2 linked regions of the Tamandua tetradactyla genome follow. The protein of the gene in region 2 purifies or fractionates together with the protein of the main gene of each other region. This does not show direct contact. Links are inferred from orthologs where the notes say so. Each region holds a gene or a part of one and is shown on either strand. Other genes may lie near its edges.

The links.
Region 1: the proteins of SLC16A11 (region 2) and EMB purify together in Homo sapiens (co-immunoprecipitation; 3 studies listed by BioGRID and IntAct, counting the BioPlex papers as one, with this or other methods). This does not show direct contact. The link is inferred for Tamandua tetradactyla from reciprocal best matches to the Homo sapiens genes SLC16A11 and EMB.

What each region holds. Positions count from the first base shown.
Region 1 is NC_135335.1:96,412,413-96,424,787, forward strand, and holds the start of EMB (embigin), read right to left. Parts: upstream 4,519-12,375; 5' UTR 4,461-4,518; coding exon 4,406-4,460; intron 1,215-4,405; exon of another isoform or gene 1,178-1,214; coding exon of another isoform or gene 1,171-1,177; intron 1-1,170. UniProt on the Homo sapiens protein: Plays a role in the outgrowth of motoneurons and in the formation of neuromuscular junctions.
Region 2 is NC_135332.1:60,932,193-60,943,469, forward strand, and holds SLC16A11 (monocarboxylate transporter 11), read right to left. Parts: upstream 4,792-11,277; coding exon 4,590-4,791; intron 4,389-4,589; coding exon 4,245-4,388; intron 4,103-4,244; coding exon 2,994-4,102; 3' UTR 2,938-2,993; downstream 1-2,937. Other genes in the region: SLC16A13 (monocarboxylate transporter 13), read left to right, coding at 1-76, 206-349, 997-1,734, 2,335-2,534. UniProt on the Homo sapiens protein: Proton-linked monocarboxylate transporter. It catalyzes the transport of pyruvate across the plasma membrane.

The sequences.
Region 1 (12,375 bases), on a different chromosome or scaffold from region 2:
CAAGGTTGAGAATGGGAAACTTGTCATCAATGGGAATCCCATTACTATCTTTCAGGAGCAAGATCCCATCACATCAAATGGGGTGATGCTGGTTCTAAATGTTGTGGAGTCCACTGGTGTCTTCACAACCATGGAGAAGGCTGGGACTCACTTGGAGGGTGGAGCCAAAGAAGTTATTATCTCTGCTCCTTTGGCCAATGCCCCATGTTTGTGATTGGCATGAACCATGAGAAGTATGACAGCTCCCTCAATATTGTCAGCAATGCATCTTTAACTGCCTGACCCCCCTGGGCCAAGGTCATACATGACAACCTTGGCATCATGAAGGAACTTATGACCATTGTCCATGCCATCACTGATACCCAGAAGACTGGATGGCCCCTCCAGGAGAATGTAAAATTCTCGGCACCATAGGGTGCTGAGAACACTGCATCAACCAATGCTGCCAAAGTGGAAGGCAATATCATCCCAGAGCTGAATGGGAAGCTCACTGGCATGGCCTTTCACATCCCCACCCCCAATGTGTTCATTGTGAATCTGACATCATGGCTGGAGAAAGTACAATGACATCAAGAAGGTGGTAAAGCAGGGGTCAGAGGTCCCCCTAAGGACATCTTGGGCTACAATGAGGATCAGGTTGTCTCCTGTGAACTTAACAGTGACACCCACTCTTCAACTTTTGATACTAGGGCTGGCATTGCCCTCAACAACCACTTCATTAAGCTCATTTCCTGGTATGACAATGAATTTGGCTAAAGCAAGAGGATGGTAGACGTTATGTCTTCATGGCCTTCAAGGATTAAGAGTCCCTGGACTCCCAGCCCCAGTGACAGCATGAAGGAAAAGAGACCATGAGCTGCTGGAGAGCCCTTTCCCAACTCGATCGCCCAACACTGAGAATCACCCATCCTCCACAGCTTCCATCTCAGATGCTTGAAGAAAGGGATGCACCATCACCATGTACCATCAATAAAGTACACCCAGCCAAAAAAACAAACAGCCTACTATTCAAAGTTAGAAAAGCCAATTATCAAATTAACTTGGAAGAGGTAAGGGACCCTGAAAAGCCAAAAACATCCTGAAAAACAAAACAAAGTTGGAGGACTCACAGTTCTTGACTTTAAAGAATATTACAGGGGGCGCAGGGTAGTTAAGTGGTAGAATTCTCACCTGCCATGCGGAAGACTCAGATTCAGTTCCCAGTCCATGTTCTTCCCCCCACCTCCAAAAAAGAACAAACAATGAAACAAACAAATAATTTAATAAATGGTGCTGCAATAATGGTATACGCATATGGAAAAATAATGAAACGTGACCCCACCGTATAGCATACCAAAGAAAGAATATTGCAAAGCTATAATGGTCGATTCAGCATACTACTGTCAAAAGGATATATATTGACCAATAGAATCGAATTTTGAGTTCAGAAATATACTTTCACACCAGTTTACTTCAACAAGTGGCATTAGGAGAACTGATATGTATATGCAAAAGAATGAAAGAAAACCCCTATCTTACATTATATACAAAAATTAACTCAAAATGGATTAAAGACCTACATATAAGAACCAAGACAACAAAATTTCCAGAAGACAATATAGGGGAGCATCTTCAAAATCTTGTGGTAGGCAATGGTTTCTTAGACTTTACACCCAAAGCAAGCAACAAAAGAAAAACTAGGTAATTGGGACCCCTATAAAAATGAAAAACTTTTGTGCATCAAAGGAATTTGTCATGAAAGTATAATGACAATCTACTCAATGGGAGAAAATATTTGGAAAAATTTTCCATTATCAGACATATCCAATAATTGTTAACTACCTAAAACATAAAGAAATCCTACAACTCAACAATAAAAAGACAACTCAATTTTAAAAAAGGCAGAAGACTTGTATAGACATTTTTCCAAAGAGGAAATACAAATGGCTAAAAAACACAAAAATGCTCAATATCGCAAGCAAATAGGGAAATGTAAATCAAAACCATAGGATGATAGCATTTCACATCCACTAAAATGGCCATTATTAAAAAAAAAAAAAAAGAAAACCACAAATGCTGTAGAGGACATTGAGAAATAAGAACATTCATTCACTGCTGACGGGAATGTAAAATGGTACAGCCACCAGGGAAGACAGTTTGACAGTTCCTCAGGAAGCTAAGTACAGAATTACAGCATAATCTGACAGTCCCACTGCTAAGTAAATACCTGGCAGAATTGAAAGCAGGGACATGAACAGATGTTTGCACACCAATGTTCATAGTGGCATCATTCACAATTGCCCAAAATGGGAGCAACTCAAGTGTCCATCAACTGATGAATGGATAAATAATATATGGTATATACATACAATGGAATATTTTCTGCCCTAAAATGGAAAGAAGTCTGATGCATGTGACAACATGGATAAACTTGAGGACATTATATTGAGTGAAATAAGCCAGACACAAAAATACAAATATTATATGATCTCACTGTTATGAACTAATTATAATAAGCAAACTAAAAGAGTTACAATATAGAATATAGGTTACCAGGAGATAAACTGAGATTACAGAATGGAGATCTGATGCTTAACTTGTACAGAATTTCTATTTAGAGTAACGGTAAAGGTGTGGACATGAATGGTGGTGATGGTAAGTCTGAGTGTAATCAACAGCACTGAACCATAGAGGTGAATATGGCTAAAAGGGGAAACTTTAGGATGCATGTTACTAGTACAAAAATTTAAAGATAAAGCACAGGACTGTACAACACAGGGAATCCCATTTTAGATGACAGACTATAGTTTTAATACAGGTATAAGAATGTTCTTTCATGGATTATAACAAAGGTATGATATTAATGCAAGATGTAGTGAAGTTAGAAAAAGAAATAGCTTTATTTAAACTCCTACTTTACTCAGGACTCTACAAAGAAGAACCAAAATGCAGCTGAGGTAGGCTGATGTGCCAAGGATCCCTTGCAGTGCTAGTTAAGACCCCCGCCTCTATGGGAAAGGAGAAATTGTGATGAGCAGTCATGCTGACACTAGCGAGTCTGTAACTCTTCACCAGCTAAGCCCATTCCTGCACAAACATTCTGCCAGGGCAGCTTTTGCAGATATATTGTACCCAAGGACATCCTGCCATAAACAACTCGCATAGCTCACGTCCCCCTTGCTTCTCCCTCCCCACCCCCCCCATACCCTTTCTTTGTTCTAGGCAGGTATATAAACTGTCCCTGCCACTTTGCTTTGAGCAGTAATTTCCTTTTAGTTCTGTTCCCATGCATGCCACTTAGCTCAATAAACTTCTTCCGCAACTTAACAGTATTAACAATAGGGTAGTACATGGGAAAAAATACAGCTAATGTAAATTTTGGATAATAGAAAATAGTATGATTTTAATCATCTCTCTTCAATTTTAAGGGTAACTACTGTTAAAAAAAAATAGTACAATTCTAAAAATCTGCTATGGTCAATGATAACCAATGTTTCCACACCATTGCAAAGTGTTGGGTATGGGTAGTATATAGGAATCCTGTATTTTATGCATGACTGTTTTTTAAACCTATAACTTCTCTAACAATAATATTAGAAGCAAAAAAATTAAATAAGTACATAAAAATGTACTAAAAACACAAAATTCAATAAAAGAAAACTAATTTTTTAAAAGAAGCTCAGTACAAACGTTTCATTAGCATCAGAATAAACAAACAAATAAAAGAGACACCTTTTATTCACATCAAATGGAAGTAAAGAAACAGCTCTTAACACTGGATGTATAGTTGGGGAAAAAAGTTACTAACAAACATTTTTTAAATAATTTAATTTCTAGTTATATTTCTATTTTAATATTGTTGCTAGAACAGATTAACTCCTGTTTGTGATTTAAAGAAATGTGAGATAACTTTTGAAACACTGGAATCTAAAGCTGTGAAAGAGAAAACACTAGCTTCACCAGCAGCTGTTTTATTTTGGAGTTCTTTGCTTGTATTTCTGTAACATGGTCACTGACTTATTCAGTGTCATCATTAATTGTACTCTGGCTAAAATTCTCCCAGTGGATATATGAATTATCTCAGTGCAGTGATTTTAAAGACATACCAGAAGGAATTGATGAAAACATAAAAGTATCTGCAAACCAAAATTTACCTGTCCTTTCTCATGAGCCCCCTCTTCTAGAGAGCCTTTCAAGGCCCTACCAGATCTGGAATATCTCCCTCTTCCTTGCACCCAGAGAACACCATCTTTAACCATGTTAGATTTCCATCATACTCTCTTATACCTGTAAAAGGGACAATTGTGTTTCACCTGCAGACCCTGAGCAGGGATGAGTAGTTTGCAAGTGAAAAATCAGTGGCTCAATTAAAAACAAAACAAGATCTTTTTCTGGCATTGTATTAATTGAAAGATGAGGCATTTACCCGTCAGTGATATGTTGTGACTCTCCAAGGAAAGGTTAGAATATTTTGCCATCATTTCTTCTCTGGCAGGTTGAACTGTAGAACGTACATCTGTAAGAGAAAGAACATGTGGTTACAAATTCTCACTAGGACTAAATGATCACCTAAAAACAGTCTGCGACAGCTAAAATGTCATTGCACACTGTGAAAAATAATGTTTTCAGACTTTAAAAAGTCTCATATTCACCAAAGACATTCATAAATATATTGGGTTTTAAAATGTGACAAAATTTGCCCTTTTTTCTACGCCTATTTTATGTAAAAATCCCTACTTATAGATAGGTGAAACCAAGTGGCTTTTACAAATTTTTTTCATTGTCATATCCCATAATTTAAAGTCTCTTTATGAAACATAAATGAACTAAAGACATTACGTGACTAAATAAGAGTGCCAGAAAAGGGAAGGCTATGTATGAAGAGGTAGAGATGAGAGCACAAATAACAATGAAAAGAAGAACAGAGAAACTATGTTACAGAGCATTGAAAAACCAGATAGTACTGGGCATTAGAAGGCAGAGAAGACAAGATGGATTATGCCCAGTGAGAGTTCTACCAGTACTTGTTTTCCAGCTATGGTTTCAGTCTGGCACAGCCTCTACCTGTAAATGACTTCCTATTTTGCTCTGTCACTTTTCTTTTGTAAATTTTTAATAAGGAATCAAGGTTTCCATTTCTGCCTGTCCCACTTTCATCAAAGCTCCTTTTTTTAACAGTAGTAACTAATTTCCATTCCTTTGACTTTAGAGCACCCGTACTTACCGCCCACAAAAGTATCCCCAACATTATCAAACACATCAGAGTGGGGGACAAAGGCACATTATTGTCAACTTGGCTGCATGCTTTAAACACTTCATTCAATTTAAATTAAAACTGGGATTTTTATCTCATTTTTCTAATATTCTGTTCAGAAAATTATTCCTAGTGCAAGATTAGATTTCCAGTTCATTCTTTTTCTATGTATGAAAAATGTTATCTAAGTTAGCAATCCCTTTTTTTGCTTCAGCTTTATACTTTACAGACAGCTTTCACAATACTGTTTATTAAAAAACTCTGCCCAGCCATAATCCATGTCTTCATTAGGCTGTGTTCCAAAGGTTTAATCCCCTCCAATTTTCCTTTGGAAGTTGAAATGCACTTTCCCATCAAATAATCCTTTAATAACGTAGCTAAAGAATACTAACCCCTGACAATAACATAAAGGAAAATATGTCCTGAGTTTCTCATTGGGCTGTCAGTGGGCTGTCCCACTGAGCTATAAAACCTTTCTTCCGTCCTGTATGTTACATAAAGCATCTATTACCTGACTGATATTACCTGGCCTCACCCTTGGCACCTCCCTGCCCTCCATAACCCCCTCCCCCCATAACTACCTGGAAGCATACCAAGCTTTGGCTACTATAATAACCTTGAACATTGCCCACTCCAACTGTATACTGTTTTGAGATAAGAACATATACCAGGATGTTTTCCCAAAATTTGCACCCAAGCCCTTGATATTTAGCCACTTTTTTTCTCCAGCCATATATAATCTATAGAGCAGTTGCCATAAATACACGCATACCTGACTGAACAAGTCTCACTGTCTGTCACAAGGTAGCTGCAGCTCTCTGTACGTTCCCTAATTCAAGCTTTGGACTGATCACTTTGGTGTTCAGTGCCTCTTTCATTGACATTTCAACAAGCCCCATTGTGGGGCAGCTTGAGGCAGTCCCGCCTAGGTCTCCCCTTATTTCTCCTTTCAGGTGAGTCCTGCAGTAGATCAGTGGAACACAGCCCACCCGCATCCAATATTAACACATTCACCCATTTTCTCCTACCCTCATGCCCTTCCCCTCCCTCCCTTTCTCTCTCTCTCTCTCTCTCTCTCTCTCTCTCTCTCTCTCTCTCTCTCTCTCTCTCTCTCTCTCTCTCTCTCACACACACACACACACACACACACACACACAGCCAAAATGTCACCCATCAACATTCTTTTCCTAATGAAAATTCCTTTATCCATTCTTTGGCAGAACTTCATTAGAGGTTTGTATTAAAGAGAAAATATCTCAAAAGATGAAGCAGAAGTAGATGTTACTCATTTATGGATGCGAAACCAGGAAGGCATGGATAGGAAGGAAAGAGTTGTTCTACTATATCATTTCATCTGTGAAGCTTATGAAATACAAGCTTAGATATCTTTGTTTCCCTGCTAGGGATCTCTCCTTTACTGGCCCGGCCTGCTATAGGACAGAATGGAGTCATAAGGTACACATCAAACTCTGCTTCATAAACCTTTTGAAATTCTATGACATACTTATTATTATTATGATGCATACCACCAGTAACAAAGTGTGACAAAAGCTAAAGAAAAGGGTTTTCTCTCATTTTTATTCTCATATTACTTAAACCCTATGCAGCACCAGGATGCTAGATGCAAATGAGGAATATAAACTTTAGTAAACGTCCTCTCTAGAGAGCTACACAGATCATGATAATAGCAATTTAGGCCGACAAATTGTGGCTGCATCATTAAAATTTCAGAGTAGCACCCATTCACATATTAACTATACCTGGTCTGTGCATTTTGTACAAATTGACGCATGGGCCACAAGCCTGATTTACATCTTTGAGGAACTAATAAAGTGAAATGGGGATGAAGATGAAGCCAAGGAGGTGAGTACTGAGGTTGGGGCCATTCTCCCACTGCCCAGCACCAGGACCTGCTTTAGAACAAGAGAAAAGGGGTCTAGGCTTGCCTTGGGCAAAATCTAAGTTTATAGCAGTTGAAGGAATAGGGGAGAAGGAAAAGCAAGCTTCAGGAGCAAAGAAATGTGGGTAGTTCCAGAATATACTAGCTGTTGTGTCCATCTCTAATTGCCAGCTCACGTATCCAAAATAATTTCAGATGACCCTAAACCAGACACCACCGATACTAACTTCACATTCCCTTTAAAGCATTAATCTTGGTCAAGCTCCCAATTCCACTAAAAAAGTACATGAATGGGTGTTGCGACGGTAGCTCAGTGGCAGAATTCTCGCCTGCCATGCCAGAGACCCAAGCTCAGTTTTCAGAGCCTGCCCATGCCAAAAAAAAAAAAAAAGGCACATGAATAACTTTGGATGTTGTCTTGGGAAAAATCCCTTTTAGAGGCCATACACACAAATGTCTTGAATCAAAAAATCAAGGCAGTTTATAGGAGGGAAAAGAATGGTAGAAATAAGGAATTCATTATTTAATTGAGATATTTTTTAATAGAAAATGTAAACCTTTTGTAACAGGATGGCTGGCAGAGCTCCACCCCATTCAAGAAGGAGGAGTGAGACTCCTCACGGTTCCATCCCCTCACAGAAGCTTTGAACAACCAACAAAAGCTGGCAGAAACATCTTTCTCAAAGGTCCAGAAAACAGTTAAAGTTTTGTAGTAACAGGGCAAGTGCTGAAACAAGTAAAAGGATGTGTAAAAGTGGTAGGCTGTCATGGTGCCCTGGCTAAATCCTCCCACACCCCTTACTAGATTGGCATGGAGCTGGCCTGCCTGCCCAGTGAAGATCCCTGGTCCTGGTTCCAGAGGACCACTCTTTCACACACACACACACTGGAAGCATGTATGCCTGGACCAGTCTGTCTGATGCTGGCCTAAGAGACTCACCATCACAGCACCTGCCTGTACAAGGCAGCTCATGGAAGTCTGCTATAGATTGCTATAGGAGAACACTCTAGTCGGCCTGCCTAGGCTATATACAGTGCAATGCCAAGTACCATGGGGAAACTATTTCCTAGGTAACTAAGGACATTTGGAACTATGTAAACAGGAAATTCCTAAGGCTACAGGAATGCACAAAAAGGATCAGGAAATCCCTTATGCTTTCACCTGGAGCTTCTCTATAAACTGATTATATGGATAAGCCATAAAGGAGCACAGTCACACAAGTCAATTTGCAAAGACTGAAAAAGCAGTTTTTTGTTTCCTCTTTTTTTTTTTTTTTTTTGTTAGATCATGGCAATCAAAGTAAGCTCTGCTACAATACTAGTTGGGTACAAAGTTAAGGAACAGATGCCTCAGAGCCTAAATTCCAGCAATTGTGCAGTAAAATGACAAAATGACCAGGTTTCAAGAAAAGGTCACAAAACATACAAAGAAACAGGAAGTGATAACCCAGGCAAAGGAGATTAAAGAATTAGAAACCATCAATGAGAGAACCAGATGGGGACATACAAAAGAGGTCTAAAAAATGATTCTAAATATGCTCAAAGAGCTAAAGGGCAGCATAAAAATAAAAGAAATCAGGAAACTGAGAGATGAACACAAATAAGTAGCAATGTAGAGTTGGAAACTATGAAAAAGAACCAAACAGAGCTGAAGATCACAATAGAAGAAATTTAAAATTCCCTAGAGGGGTTCAATAGCAGATTGAAGCTAGCAGAAGAAAAAATAAGACCTTGAATATATCATTCAGTCTGAGAAGCAAAAAGAAAGAACAAGGAAAAATGACTAGAGCCTGAGGAGCCTGTGGGACACTGTATAAAACATGCAAATAAACACAGTGTGGACATCCCAGAAGAAGAAAGATGGATAGGGGTAGTATGACTATTCAAAGAAATAATAGCTAAAACCTTCCCAGATTTAGCAAGAGACATGAACGTACATATCCAAGACACTCACCAAACTCCAAACAGGATAAAACCAAAAGACCCACACCATAGTATATTATAATCGAACTGTCAAAAGTCAAAGATAAAGAGAGAATTCTGAAAGCTATAAGAGAGAAGCAATGTGTCATGCACAAGGGAGCTGCAATAAGATTAAATGCTGATTTCTCATTGGAAATCATAAAGGCAAAAAGTCAGCATGATAACATGTTTAAAGTGCTGAAAGCAAAAAAATTGCCAACCAAGAATTCTATATCCAGTGAGACTATCCTTAAAAACTGAAGGAAAAATTAAGACATTCCCAGATAAACAAAAGCTGAGAGATTTTTGTCACCACTAGACTGGCCCTAGGAACAGTTCAAAAGCGAGCTCTACAGGTTGAAGGGAAAGTTCAACCTGACTCCCAGGGGTATAAATCACCCTGGAAAAGTAGGACACGACTTGTGGGGATGAGGCTAGCCCTGGCATCATGGGATTGAGAAAGTCTTCATGTCCAAATGGGGGAAGAGAAATGAAACAAAATAAAGTTTCAGTAGCAGAGAGATTTCAAATAGAGTTGAAAGGTCATTCTGGAGTTTATTCTCATGCATTTTACAGATATGCCTTCTCAGATTCTGGTGTACTGGAGTAGCGAAAGGGAAATACCAGAAACGTCTGAATTGTAATCCAATAGCCTTGATTCTTGCAGATGACAAAATACTATAGAGCTTTTAAGGTGTGACCGTGTGAATGTGAAAACCTTGTGACTAGGCGGTGCAATGGTGGCAAATGGCAGAATTCTCGCTTGCCATGCCAGAGACCGGGTTCGATTCCCAGAGCCTGTTCATGTAAACAAACAAAGAAAAAAACAAGCAGAAAAAAACACCTTGTGACTGTACTCCCTTTATCTTGTTTATGGACAGATAAGTAAGGAAAAATAACACACACAAAAAAACCAAACAAAGGGGGTGGGGTATGGGATGTTTTGGGTGTTCTTTTTTACTTTTATTCTTATTTTTATTTTGGGGGGGGAAGTAATAAAAATGTACAAAAATCAATCATGGGGGGGGTGTAAGGATAGTTCAGTGGTAGAATTCTCACCTGCCATGTGGGAGACCCAGGTTCAATTTCTGGCCCACGTACTTCTTATCCCCCCCCCAAATTCAACAACTGGTGCTGCAATAATGGACTACTCACATGGAAAAATAATGTAATGTGACCCCCCACCATACAGCATACAAAAAAAAAAAATCAATTGTGATGACAAATGTATGGCTATGAACCAGTGACCGCACAGTTTGGATGATTATTTGGTATGTGAATATATACTGTATCTCAATAAAATTGCACCTAAAAAATTTCTTGAACTTGATAACTGCACTTAGGTGGTTACCTAAGTGAATATCTTCATTTTAGTAAATATACATGTCAGTAATAAATTTTCAAGGAGCATGAAGTATTCAACCTACACTCAAGTGTTCAGAAAATAGATAGTGTGGCAGTTTGGAGCCATTAAGTAACCCCAGAAAAGGCAATGCTCTTGTAATCCATTCCTGCGAGTGCAAACCTAGTGTAGGTGGGACTATTGGTTAGTTTATTTCAATTGAGATGTGATCCGCCTCATTCAAGGTGGATCTTGTTCCACCTCCTCAAGTCCTTAATGAGGGGATAAAAGACAGGAAAAAACCCAGAGAGCTGACAGAAAAATTTAAAAATAACTGGAGTTGCTAATAGAGGAAGCCACCAAGGTTAGAAGCTGAAAACGATGGAACTTGGAGAGAAGGAGCAACAAATGCTGTCATGTGCCTTTCCGTGTGACAGAGGTGTCCTGGATTCCAAGAGCTTTTCTTCAGAGAAGGTATTGTCCTGTTGATGCCTTAACCTGGACATTTTCATGGCCTTAGAGCTGTAAATTTGTAAGCTAATAAATCCCCATTGTAAAGGACAACCCATTTCTGATATATTGCATCCAAGCAGCTTTAGCAAACCAGATAGATAGATAGATAGATAGACAGACAGACAGACAGACAGACAGATATGGCAAATATGACAAAATGTTAAAATTGATAGATCTGGGTATCTAGGGCAATAAGGATATGTTGGAATTTTCTGTTTGGGTTAGTAATATCTTCATTACTGTCCTAAAAGTTTAAAGTATTTCAAAATTAAAAAGCTTTAAAAAAAAAAAAAACGGACAGCTGGCAAGGGGCTGATTCAGTTAATGTTGGTGGTTCAAGGAAATTGGCAGCAGATCAAAGCAGATGTAGTTTGAACATGTCTTTGAAAGGATTAGGCTGAGTCACAAAATGGCGTATAAAATGGACAGGCGTGAATGTCGTGTTCTAATCCAAGCTCTGCAACTGACTTGTTACTTGGGGTTTCAAAACACGAAATGCCCAACTCTGTGCTTTGACAATACATCTCCACTCTAAACTTCATTTCATAGGAAAAGAACCGAATGCTAAAAGCGTTGCATAAATATGGAGTGATGGTGTCAAATAATAACTCACATTTCTTGAATTATCCTATTCAACCCTTTATCATTGCTGGAAATTTTCTACCTGGTATTCTTTCACAGGTAGTGACAAAACATCAATATAAGAGTGACAAAACATCAATATAAGAGTAACAACATTTAATAGTTGCTCTAGAGAACAGTAACTCCCAAAATCTAATGCATTTAAAAATCTTGGAAGGGTCTAAATAGCATTATAAATGTGCAACTTAATTATTGTAGCACAACTTAGGAAAGGATAACATATACTATTTACAAAAGAAAAGTTTAGAACTCAGAATACATTTCCTCATAGAAGCAAGATTATATACAATCATGAAGTCCCATACCAAATTTTAGAGGCTGTTTAAGCCATGATATGGTGAATTATAGCATTAAAAAGAATCAAATCCTCAAGTATCACATTGCCTATAAACAATGCATTCAGAGTTCTATTTCTAGGCTCTTAGGAATTTGACACTCTTACCCTAACCCTTGTCCATATCTGCAGTAGCAGAAAGCAGGATAAACACAGGTGTAGGGCTGAGAAGTCGACTTGGATTTCTTACACTAGTGTGCCTGGGAGACAGTATGACAATAGAAGGTACAAAGTGCCAATAACAATTGAGGAAAGATTCTCTGAAGGTAGTAGTGACAGAGAAAAGAAGGAAGGTTTGTCAAGAAAATAAATTCCTGATGGGACCATTTATAAGACAGACTTTCTAATTCAGGGACAGATGATAGTCCAGATTCTGACATTTTTTTTTTGCATAGTATAATAAATATTAGCTAAGACAGCCATTTTTAGACTAGTTTAAAAAAAGTCTA
Region 2 (11,277 bases):
GTCGCGGCGTTTGAGGAGCAGGCAGCGCGCGTCTCCTGGATCGCCTCCATAGGAATCGCGGTGCAGCAGTTTGGAAGTGAGTGCTGCGCCTGGGTCCTGAGTCCTGGGGCTGGGGGGGCTGGGGGCGGCAAAGGGGAAGGGTGGGGGAGAGGGGATACTCAGGGAGGACGCCTGAGACCTCGCTGAGCGCCTTCCTCTTTCCCAGGCCCAGTGGGCAGTGCCCTGAGCACGAAGTTCGGGCCCAGGCCCGTGGTGATGACAGGGGGCATCTTAGCTGCGCTGGGGATGCTGCTTGCCACCTTTGCTACCTCCTTGACCCACCTGTACCTGAGTATTGGGCTGCTGTCAGGTGAGATCTTGGCAAGGGTAGGAGAGTAATAAAATGCCTGGGTTTTTAGCCTCTGGACTTTCACATCTCTCCCGGTCCTTCCAAAAGACTTAGGGAGAAGCTGAGGGAAAGTTCTGGCTGGCACCTAGCCCAGAGAGGGAATCCTTAGGGAGATGGCTAAACTGATAAGCAGCATTCAAAGATAATGAGTCCAGAATATATCAACCCAGGGCTAGTGGGGCTGGAGCATAAAAGGGAGAACCATTATAAAAAAGGTGCCAGGTACTGTGGGTGTGAAATAAATATCTTATTTACAGATGAAGAAAGGCTTTAAAAGATTATGCAACTTGGCAAATGAAAGTCATACTACTGGAATGCTAGAGCCCAAGTCTAATTCCAACATACGGTGCTATTTACAGACATTTTCTCTAATTCTCTACAGTCTCATGAGGTATATTAGGTTCATTTTTCAGATGAGGAGTTTGAGGCTGGAAGACTGATTAAAATACCCAAGGTCACACAGCTAGAAGGTGTCAAAGCTGGGGTTGTAACTCAGGTCTGTGGGACTCTGAAGCCAGTACTACATTCTGCTGCTGGGCAGTGTTGGAATTGTCTGGTGCTCTGAGCCCCTGAGGGTCCCTCAATCCCCATTTCTTCTTTTTTGGCAGGCTGTGGCTGGGCCTTGACCTTCACTCCGACCCTGGCCTGCCTGTCCCGTTACTTCTCTCGCCGTCGATCCTTGGCCATGGGGCTGGCACTGACGGGTGTGGGCCTCTCCTCCTTTGCCTTTGCCCCCTTCTTCCAGTGGCTGCTCAGCCGCTATGCCTGGCGTGGGGCCCTGCTGCTGGTATCTGCCCTCTCCCTCCACCTGGTGGCCTGTGGTGCTCTTCTCCGCCCACTCTCCCTGGCCGAAGACCCTGCCACGGGTGGCCCTTGGGCCCAAATCACTTCCCTCCTTCATCATGGCCCCTTCATCCGTTACACTGTGGCCCTCACCCTGATCAACACCGGCTACTTCATTCCCTATGTTCACCTGGTGGCCCATCTCCAGGACCTGGATTGGGACCCCCTGGCTGCTGCCTTCCTACTCTCGGTGGCTGCTATTTCTGACCTCGTGGGGCGTGTGGCCTCTGGGTGGCTGGGAGATGCAGTACCATGGCCTGTGGCACGACTCCTGATGCTCTGGACAACACTGACAGGGGTGTCACTCATCCTGTTCCCCGTAGCTCAGGCGGCCAAAGCCCTGATGGCTCTGGCTGTGGCCTATGGCTTCTCATCTGGAGCCCTGACCCCAGTGGCTTTTTCTCTGCTGCCTGAACTGGTGGGAACTGGAAGGATATACTGTGGCCTGGGACTGGTACAGATGGTAGAGAGCATTGGAGGGCTGCTGGGGGCTCCACTGTCAGGTAAGGAGAATGGGGGTAGGGAAACTAATTTACACTATAGTGTATTTGAATGCTGCTCCCTAGTGTTGTATAGTACGCAACCTGAAATGGGTCAATGGGGCAAAGAAAACTGGGGCTGGGAAAGTCTGAGTGCAAAGACAAAGAGGAGCTAAGTGGAACCCTTGAGAGGGTGTCTGTGGTGGGTTTTCAGAGGATCTGGATGGCCCTGGCCAGACTTAGTATGCCACAATGTCTTCCCTTTCCTTTGGCTCCTTGGGCCCCTGTCTGGTCAAAGATCTCATTGCTCAAGATGCCAGAACTTTCAAACCCTTAACATTTTCCTCTTAACTGGGAACTGATGTTGGAGAAGGGCCTTAGTTGCCTCTGGAACCCCCACCCCCTCATCCTTACTGGCTGCCTTGAAGGTCCCTTTCTGAAGGCAAGAAGGAATTTAGAATCAACCTTTTGAGATCCCTTGGGAAACCAGAGTTCTCTAGCTCCAGTCCTTCCTTAAGAGTTCCAACTCTTCCAACGTAATGGGTACTAGCTTTTTTTTGTTCCCTCTACTCAAAAATGTGCTTGATCCCCCATGTGTAATTTATCTCTCTCTCTTGGGCCTAGGTTACCTCCGGGATGTGACAGGAAACTACACAGCTTCTTTTGTGGTGGCTGGGGCCTTTCTCCTTGCAGGGAGTGGAGTTCTCATCACCCTGTCCCACTTCCCCTGCTTCTCACCTCCTACCCCCAGGCCCCAGGACCTTGTAACAGTGGCACTGGATACCAACATCCCCTTGCCCAAGGAGGGGCTGGGAGAGGACTAAACTCCAGGGAGGAGCAGTCAGGCACAGAAAGCCAGAACTCCGCTGCTCCATGTCTTCTCCTCCTGCCCCGTCATGGTCCCCACAGAACCACAGTGCCTTAAGCGTCTTGATCTGTCTCTCCCCAGGCAGGCCTGGGGCTTCTGGAATGTATGGGCCAACTTTTGTTCTTTTGTTGAGGACTCTTACCTCTTCTCTTTTGCTCCCTGACCTTTTCTCAAGGATCAGAGAGTTCAGCCTACCCTACTGAGCTGTGAATCAACTGTAAAAATAAAAGACCAAGAAGTTTTTGTTTTATATGTGATCTCTAGTGTTGCCTCCTAAGTTTCTTCTCTGAAGACAGAGAAGAAACCAGCCTTTTTGGCTAACTTAAGTAGGATGTTTTCCTTGTACTAGTTTGGCTAATAGTTGAAGATTGTAGGGAAACCCAAAGGACATTTTCTTTTTATTGGGGGGAGGGGTTCAAACAAGAAAATGATCAACAAGTGGTGTCCAGAATGGGGCCGGGGCCTCCTGGGGAGAGGAGGGAGGCCTGAGAAACAGGGAGAAGCTCCCCCTTCTCAGGAGGAGGGTGGGAGGGAGGTGAGTCTGGACTGCAGTGGGGCAGCACCCCGGGCAGCCCCATGAAGATGAAGCTGCCAGAGAGGATGAAGGAACCGCACACGAGGAAGGAGGCAGTGAAGTCTCCCGTTTCATCTCGTAGGAAGCCTGAGAGCAGGGTGAGGAGGGGGTCAAGGGACTTGGAGGCCTCTGACGAGGGGCAGAGGAGGGTTGGGAGTGGATCTCCTGGCTCAGGCTCTTACCTGACAGGGGAGGCCCTAGGAGCCCCCCGATGCTCATCAGCAACAACACCAGCCCCGTGGCCTGCACGACCCCTCCGAGGCCCACTAGTCCTGGGAGCACCCCGAAAATCAGCGGGGCGAAACATCCGACGCTCAGCCCGTAGGCTCCGGCCGCGGCCAGCAAGGGGTCCCCCCAACCCTTGCTGCTCCCCTCCACTGGCACCAGTCCCACCGCCAGCAGCCCCAGCCCGGTCAGAGACGCGAACACCGCCAGCAGCCGCGACAGGGGCACCCAGCCCTGATTCGCCAGCCACCCGGACAGCAGCCGGGCGCCCGCGTCCCCCACCGCAGCCACCGCCACCACAAGCGCGGCCCCGTAACCCCCGAGGCCCCGCTCTAAAGCGTGGGGGGCCAAGTGTACGCAAGGGACGAAGTACCCGCCTCCCACCAGGAGCATGCCCAGAGCAAAGATCAAGAAGGGCCGTTGAGTGAAGAGATCCAGGCCGAGGGCAGCGAAGGCCCCGCAGGGTGAAGCCGGGGGGTCGCCGGGGAGCGCCAGGGGTCGCAGCACGGCTCCACAGGGGATGAGGTGGAGGGTGAAGGCGCCGAGGAGGAGCAGGGCGCCCCGCCAGCCGAAAGTATCAAGGAGAAACTGCACGGAGGGCGCCAGGAGCAGCGAAACGACCCCGTTGCCGGTGAGCGCCAGCCCCAAGGCCAACACTCGACGGCTGGAGAAGTAGAGGCTGAGGGTTCCGAGGGCGGGGGCGAACACCAGGGACCAGCCCGAGCCTGCGAAGCGACAGGACCGGGTGAGGGGCGCGAGCCGGAGAGCCTGCGCCTGGCTTCCGCGGGAGGCCCCTCCCCACTCGGCCCCGCCAAGCTCCCATCCGCCACCTTCACCCTTAAGGACCGGGCACTCCTTCCTCCTCACCAGCCAAGAGGCCCAGGCCGAGGTAGAGGTGCAGCAGACTGCCGGCGAAAGCAGAAAGGACCAAGCCGAGCGAGGTGAGGACGCCCCCAACCATGACCACGGGGCGCGCCCCCCAGCGGGTGGTCAGGGCGCTGCCCATCGGGCCTAGAAGGGGGCAGGGTTAACGGAAGACACGCCCCTGGAACCCCCAACTCGCCCGGGCACTTCTCATTGGCTGTCTGCCTGGCCTAAAGTTCTGGCGGTGACCCTTGCTCGGGGTGTCTGGCAAGCAGGCGGGTCTCCCTCCTCACCACTGACGACCCCACCACCCGCCGTTCCCGCCCCCAATCTCGGGGTCCCCCTCACTGGCTGCCTGCTGCACGGCCAGGGCCAGGGCGCTGACCCACGCAGTCTCCTGAGCATTTCGTTCGAAGTGCTCGGCGAGGTCAGGGAGGGCAAGGCTCAGGGAGCGCAGCAGCCCGTAGGAGAGCCCGTTCGCCGCGAAGGTTGCGGCCGCCACCATCCAGCCCCAGCCCCCGTCCGGGGGTCCGGCCAGCTTGGGGGTCATCGTCGTCTGCGGGGGTGGGGAAACACCTGGGAGTGAGGTCTCCCGGGCCGTGGGTCCGCGGGGGACCTGGCGTCCCTGAGTGGACGCGTCACCCGCCCCAGCACGACAGGGCGGGGGCGGGGGGAGTGAGAACCAGGCCTGAGGATGGAACCTCCCCGTCCGCCCAAAGTCCGGGACGGGGCACACCCGGCCCTCCCAGGCCTGGGCCTCCCCCTCCCACACTCAGGCCTTCCCCCTTACCCGACCCCTCCGGGCGGTGTGTGTGTGTGGGGGGGGGGGGGTGGCGAGGCTCCGCCGGGTTTCGCAGGCCGGCGGGGCTGGGAGAGCAGCGAGCGCAGAGCTGAGCCGAACTTGGAGCGGTTCTATCGGTAAACAGGGATCACTGCAGGGGCCCGAGCCACCTGAGGATGCCCGGGGTACGGAGGGCGGGGGCGAGTCTAGACAGCCAATCCGCAGAGCCGCAGGTGAGACCAGACGCCGAGTCCCACGGGGATTGAATTGGCCACATATACACACCCCTAGGCCCCGGAAAGGCCGCGGCGAGGAATGAATGCCACCCCGCCCCGATCGGCTCCCGCCCACGCACCCGCTGCCTACCTACCGCGCACCGCCGAGTCAGAGACAAGCCCCGGGGGCTGTACAGCACGCGGGAAAATAGGCGTGGCACCCCAAACCTTGAGGGGGTGAGTAGTTTTCCTTGGCAGGGAACGTGACTGCCGAGCAGGTGCATTTCGGATGTCAAATCGGATTTCCACTGAGCGTCTGCTCTGTGCTCAACCTTAACCTGCCTGCTAGGACCGAGGGGAAGGAAGAGGAAAGGCATTCCCTTATTATGAGACCCTGAGTTGTGCCAGGCATTCCCTAAATATGCGGTCTTCCCATCCTCACGATAACCCTCTGAAGAAAGTGTAGTGCCATTGTATGGATGAGGACCAGTGTAGGACGGAGCTGCTGGGAGCTGCTCAGAGAGGTGGGGTCATTGGCCCAAAGTCACCCCGCTCTAAAAGGATAGACATATTTGAACTCCGGTCTGTGCAACTGCAGGACCACACAGCTGAATCTCCACAGTTGTAGGGAATGGCCTGCAGACTATTTGATGCCAACTGCCCTGAAACAGCAGAGCTGTTGTAGAGCCAGAGAGAGTTTGCGGTTCTAAAATAGGGTCATGGGAAAGAAATTGTTGAGATTAGAATCTCCAACAATTTGAGTTTAGAATTTTTTAAAAAAGGTAAGAAATCAGGGAATTGTATCCAGGTGTTGATTTTTTGAAAAACTTTATAAAAGTATCTTTTTTACAGCTTCTTGTGTCACAATATGTGTTCTTTGATTTAAATTATCAGATGATTATAGAAGATTTGACAGTTTACAGTTTGGCGTCTGTATCAGCAGACAGCCACATGATGGCAGTGTTCCCAGTTGTTGAGAAAGTGTCTGCAAGTAAAGAAAAGAAAAAAGCAGCTTCTTAAATGGTGAAACTGTGAACTTTGAACATACCTACAGCTTAGCTTTCCATATCCCCGTTGGGGCCTATAGGAGGAAAAAATAAAATGCCTCTACTTTGTGTATAAGGCTTTTTACAATCAACAGTAGACCCAGGCTATATTTCCATTCCATCTCCTTCCTTCCCCTCAGCCATTAGCTTTTCACTTGCTCCATGGACATGCCAAACTTTTTCTTATGTGTCCTCTCTGCTTGAAATGCCCTGGATGGGGTACAGGAACCCATAAATACAGAACCCATAAATACAGAAACCCTGACCGTAAGGTCAGGCCAAGTACACCCTAGAAAAGTGGCCCCAACAGTTTCCCCAGCCTGAAGTTGTGAAAGGGCACCAGGGAGGTGGAGCCAGCAGGTCCTCAGCCACCCAGGGGTGCAGGGGGCCTGCTTCTTAAGAACGCTTTCTGCTCCAAGCTGATCAGGGCCAACAAGAACTACTCACTCCCTCTCCATGGTGAAACAGAACTGCAGGGCAGTCAAAGAGGAGACTGGTCCCTCTGGGGTTGGGAGTTGTACCAAATGATGCGGGGTACTTTCTCAGATACTTATAATCCCAGAATGGCATCCCAGAGCATGGGACTGGGGTGATGGGTTATGAAAGGGTTCTTTGTCTACTTCAAATTCCCCAAGTCCCCATCGCTGTGTCTTTTGCACATGGAGGTAATACAGTGTAGAGATTGGGAGAACGGAGTCCTCAGTTAAACTGCCTGGGTTTGAATCCTAGCTCTGCCATGTATTAACTGTACGGCCATGAGCAAGTTACCCAACCTTCCTGTGCCTCGGTTTCCTCCTCTGAAAAATGAGGATTAAGATAGTAGTGACTTGCTAGGGGATTATGAAGATTCTGCCCTTCCCTCACCTTGCTATTTCTACTAAGGTTTCAAAGTCAAAGAACCACACTGATCTGGGGTGTTCTCAGTTGAAATGCATGGGAAATACAATGTGAAATAGCTATAACAATGTTAAATGAAAATTTTCTGGTTTCTTTTCTTGTAGTGTGTAGTTTCCTTGGCATTTTCTTTTCTTTTTTTTAAATTTATTTATTTTTTATTTATGATATATAACCACATACAAACACAAACATTCTTATCATATGATCATTCCGTTCTTGTTATGTAATCAATAACGCTCACTTTCGTCACATAATTGTATATTCATCATCATGATCATTTCTTAGAACATCTGCATAAATTCAGAAAAAGAAATAAAAAGAAAACAGAAAAAAATTCATACATACCATACCCTTTACCCCTTCCCTTCACCAATCACCAGCATTTCAATCTACTACATTTGTTTTAACATTTGTCCCTCCTATTATTTATTTATTTTTAATCCATATGTTTTACTTCTCCATCGATAAGGTAGACAAAAGGAGCATCAGGTGCAAGGCTCTCACCACCACACAGTCACACTGTGACAGCCATATCATCATGCAATTGTCTTCAAGAAACATGGCCACTAGAGCACAGCTCCACATTTTCAGGCAGTTCCCTCCAGCCTGTCCATTACACCTTAACTAAACAGGTGATATCTATTTAATGCGTAAGCATAACCTCCAGGATAACCTCTCAACTCTGTTTGTACTCTCTCAGTCACTGACACTTTATTTTGTCTCATTCACTCTTCCCTCTTTTGGTCGAAAAGATTTTCTCAATCCCTTGATGCTGAGTCCCAGCTCATTCTAGGGATTTCTGTCCCATGTTGCCAGGAAGGTCCACACCCCTGGGAGTCATGTCCCACGTAGAGAGGGGGAGGGCAGTGAGTTTGCTTACTGTGTTGGCCAAGAGAGAGAGGCCACATCTAAGCTACAGAAGAGGTTCTTTGGGGGGTGACTCTTAGGCCTAATTTTAAGTAGGCTTAGCCTATCCTTTGCAGGATTCCTTGGCATTTTCTAAAGTTTACAGGAAAATGCTGGTCTCCCTGTCATCACTAAAAGCAAGAGAGGAGAAAGGAGTAAAAATAAGTTTTATTCATCAGTCCTTCATACAGAGTATTCATAGACATTTACTAGGACAGGTGCTATGCTTAGGGCTGGGAATGTGAATGCAACTAAAATACAGTCTCTCCTGCAGGCTCCCACAATCAAATCACAGAAACAGTCACACGAAGGAAAGAATTCTCAATATGAGGAGAAGAACACAAACTGTAGAGTGGTGCATGGGAGGAACATACTCACTCTGCTTGAGGGCTTCTAGGAAGGCTTCACAGAAAAGGAACCCCTTGAGCTGGGTCTTGACGGATGAGTAAGAGTTTGCCAGATGGATGTGTGGGCAAGGGCATTCCAGGCAAAGGGAGCAGCCTGTGGAAAAGCACAAAGGCATGAACCAGCTTAGCATGTTGTTTATTATTTGGGGAGCTGTAAATAGCTGCTGTTTGAAGAACAGAGTGTGTAGGAGAGCAGTGTAGGACGGAGCTGCCGGGGCAGAGAGTCTCATCATGAAGGGCCTTGAAGGCCAGGTTAAGGGATTTAGATGTTTTCCCAGAAATTGATGCTTCTCAAAATTTTCTACTGACATTCCATTCTCTAATACTGGAGCCTGAACACAAAGGAGAGAGTACTCATGTCCCACTTGAAGAGGACAATGTCTTTAAAATACCCTGTTTTACACTGAAAACTCATGTGGAACTTTGCACCCTACTCCATTCTACCTCAAAATAGTTTTTGATGGCATATTTTCATTTAAAAATGCTTTCATAGAAAAATTATTTTAATCACTCAAATCTTCAAGAAAACATTTAACTCTCTAGGAAGATATACATATTTATTCCAAGGGTTTGTTTTCCCTGGAACACTGCCATCAACCAGAGTTAATGTGGGTGGTTTGATGGTGAGCTACCGATGGTCCTAGATCACCTCCTCCAGGAAGTCCTCCCTGCCATGCCCACTGCTGGTCTGCATTAGGTGCCTGTACTCTGCCTGTGTTATCGGCCATCAGAGTAGTTTTCAGCCTGAAGACAGGTCATCCACATTTGTCTTCTGCTCTTCACCCAAGCCCCCCATGTTGCCCCAGCACCATGTGCCCTGGAGGTAGGACCTTGCATTATTGATCTGTTATCTTTGACACCCAGCATGGAGCTTGGTATGTAGAACACCAGGCACGTGTTTGTTAGGTGAGCATGTATCACCGAATTTGGGAAATACTGAAGAAGGAAATCATTGAATGAGCGAACTTGGAGCCCAGTGCCCCAGGGAATGTGGCAATATCACAAGAAGGATCACTGATGGACCCAAACCCTTAATACCCGCCCGCATGGAGGAAGCCCCAGAAGATGGCGCTGACCCCGGAAAGGGTCTTTGGAGAGATCAAAAGAGAGGGCATACTTTGCTCCGGGGACCGCGGCAGCCAGGAGTGTGTCTGTGTTCGTGAACGCTTAAAAAACTGTTCTGGGGCTTTCTCACCAGAGCCCTGCCCGCGCAGTTTTGGGGCCTTCTAGGGTCTGCAGGCCCGGAGGAGTGGAGAGCAGTCTGGGCTCAGGGCCTCGGGGACACCCCCAGCAGAGCCCAGCCATTCCCAAGTGACCCCACCAGGGGGCTCCCTCTGCAGAAGGTGGCTGGGACAGAAGCATTCGGGCATCACACGCAAAACATTGCACTCTCCGATGCACTCAAAAAAAAAGGCTTTGCAGTGTTTGGTCCAGGTGATGTGGGTTTCCAAGTGCCTAATGGAGCAGCCTCCGACCCCTCAACCTCCAGAATCCTCCCTTTCCACAGCTCACCCTGAAACCAGGCTGTAGTACTCAGCAAAGCCCAGATTAGGCCTGGAAAAGTGGGAGAACAAACTTGGGAAGGGGTGAGGGCACAGAGGGCAGGGTTTGTGGGTCAGTGACTAATTAAGATGGGGTGGGGGAGCACATTTGTTGAGACGCTGTTATGGGTCGGGGGGTGGGGGTGCCCACGGTGTGTGGGAGCAAGTCAGCTCAGATGACTACACATGACTGGAGAACCAAACTGAGTCCCCTGAGCCTTTGGGGTTGAGATGAGTGCTTGCTGAGTGGGGCAGGATGGGGGCTGGCCATGGGGCTGAGGTTGGCACCGAGCAGGATGAGGCGAGGCTGGAGCTACGGTTGGATTCAAGGCTATGTAATTTCTCTCTAACCCCCTCTACAAAGTCCTTCTCCCACGACGTCGTCCAATCCAGTTTCCATCCCTTCCCTCCACCGTGACCCACACCTCCCAGTCCTGTTACATGGGACAGTCTGCAGGGGCTGGTTCCTGGACCTCTCCGGACAGTCCGTTCTCCAGGGCAGGGGGGCTGGGGACCGAGCAGGAAGGCTTGGTCAGGGTCTCAGCCTAGTCTGTGTGTCTGACCATCCAGTCGTGGCTTCCCTGGAGTTTCTGGTTCTAGGACTTGGGCCAGCCTTTATGTCAAGGCTTTTAGTTGTAAGCCATGGGCATGAACTCTAACTGATATAAGGAGAAAAAATGATTTACTCTAGGATTCTGGTTAAGTCACAAAGTGGCCAAGAGGACTTCAGACCTAGGTTGGAAACAGGCGTGAGCAAGGACTAGAGCCGGCCCAAAGGAATGGCTAAGGCCACTGCTGACGCGGGGGGCAGTAGATGTCGCTGCTGGCCCTCTGTGACCCCTGGGCCTGGAAACTCGCCGTTGCTCAGAAACAATCTCTGCCTTTTGTACCAACAGCAAACAAATCCAAGTCCAGGGTCACTGGCGCTGACCACCTGGACCTGGTCATGGGCTTTCAGCCTGGTTGGAAAGCGAGCACCTAGTATTTGCAGCATCTCCAGCAGGAACTGGGTTCTGCTTGCCAGCAGAAACAATCAGGTGGGGGATTTCTCAAATGAAGGAAGGGGTCCAGATGCAAGGCAGGCCAAAGTGCCCGCTAAAAACAGATGGTTAGGGCGGGGATAGGATTTGAATTCAGACAGCAGCGTGTGTGTGTCCTGCAAAAGCAGCTTGGACATGGTGAATTAAGAGCAGAGTCCTTGAGTCCCGATTCCAACGCTTTCTAGGTATCTTTAAAGAGAAGA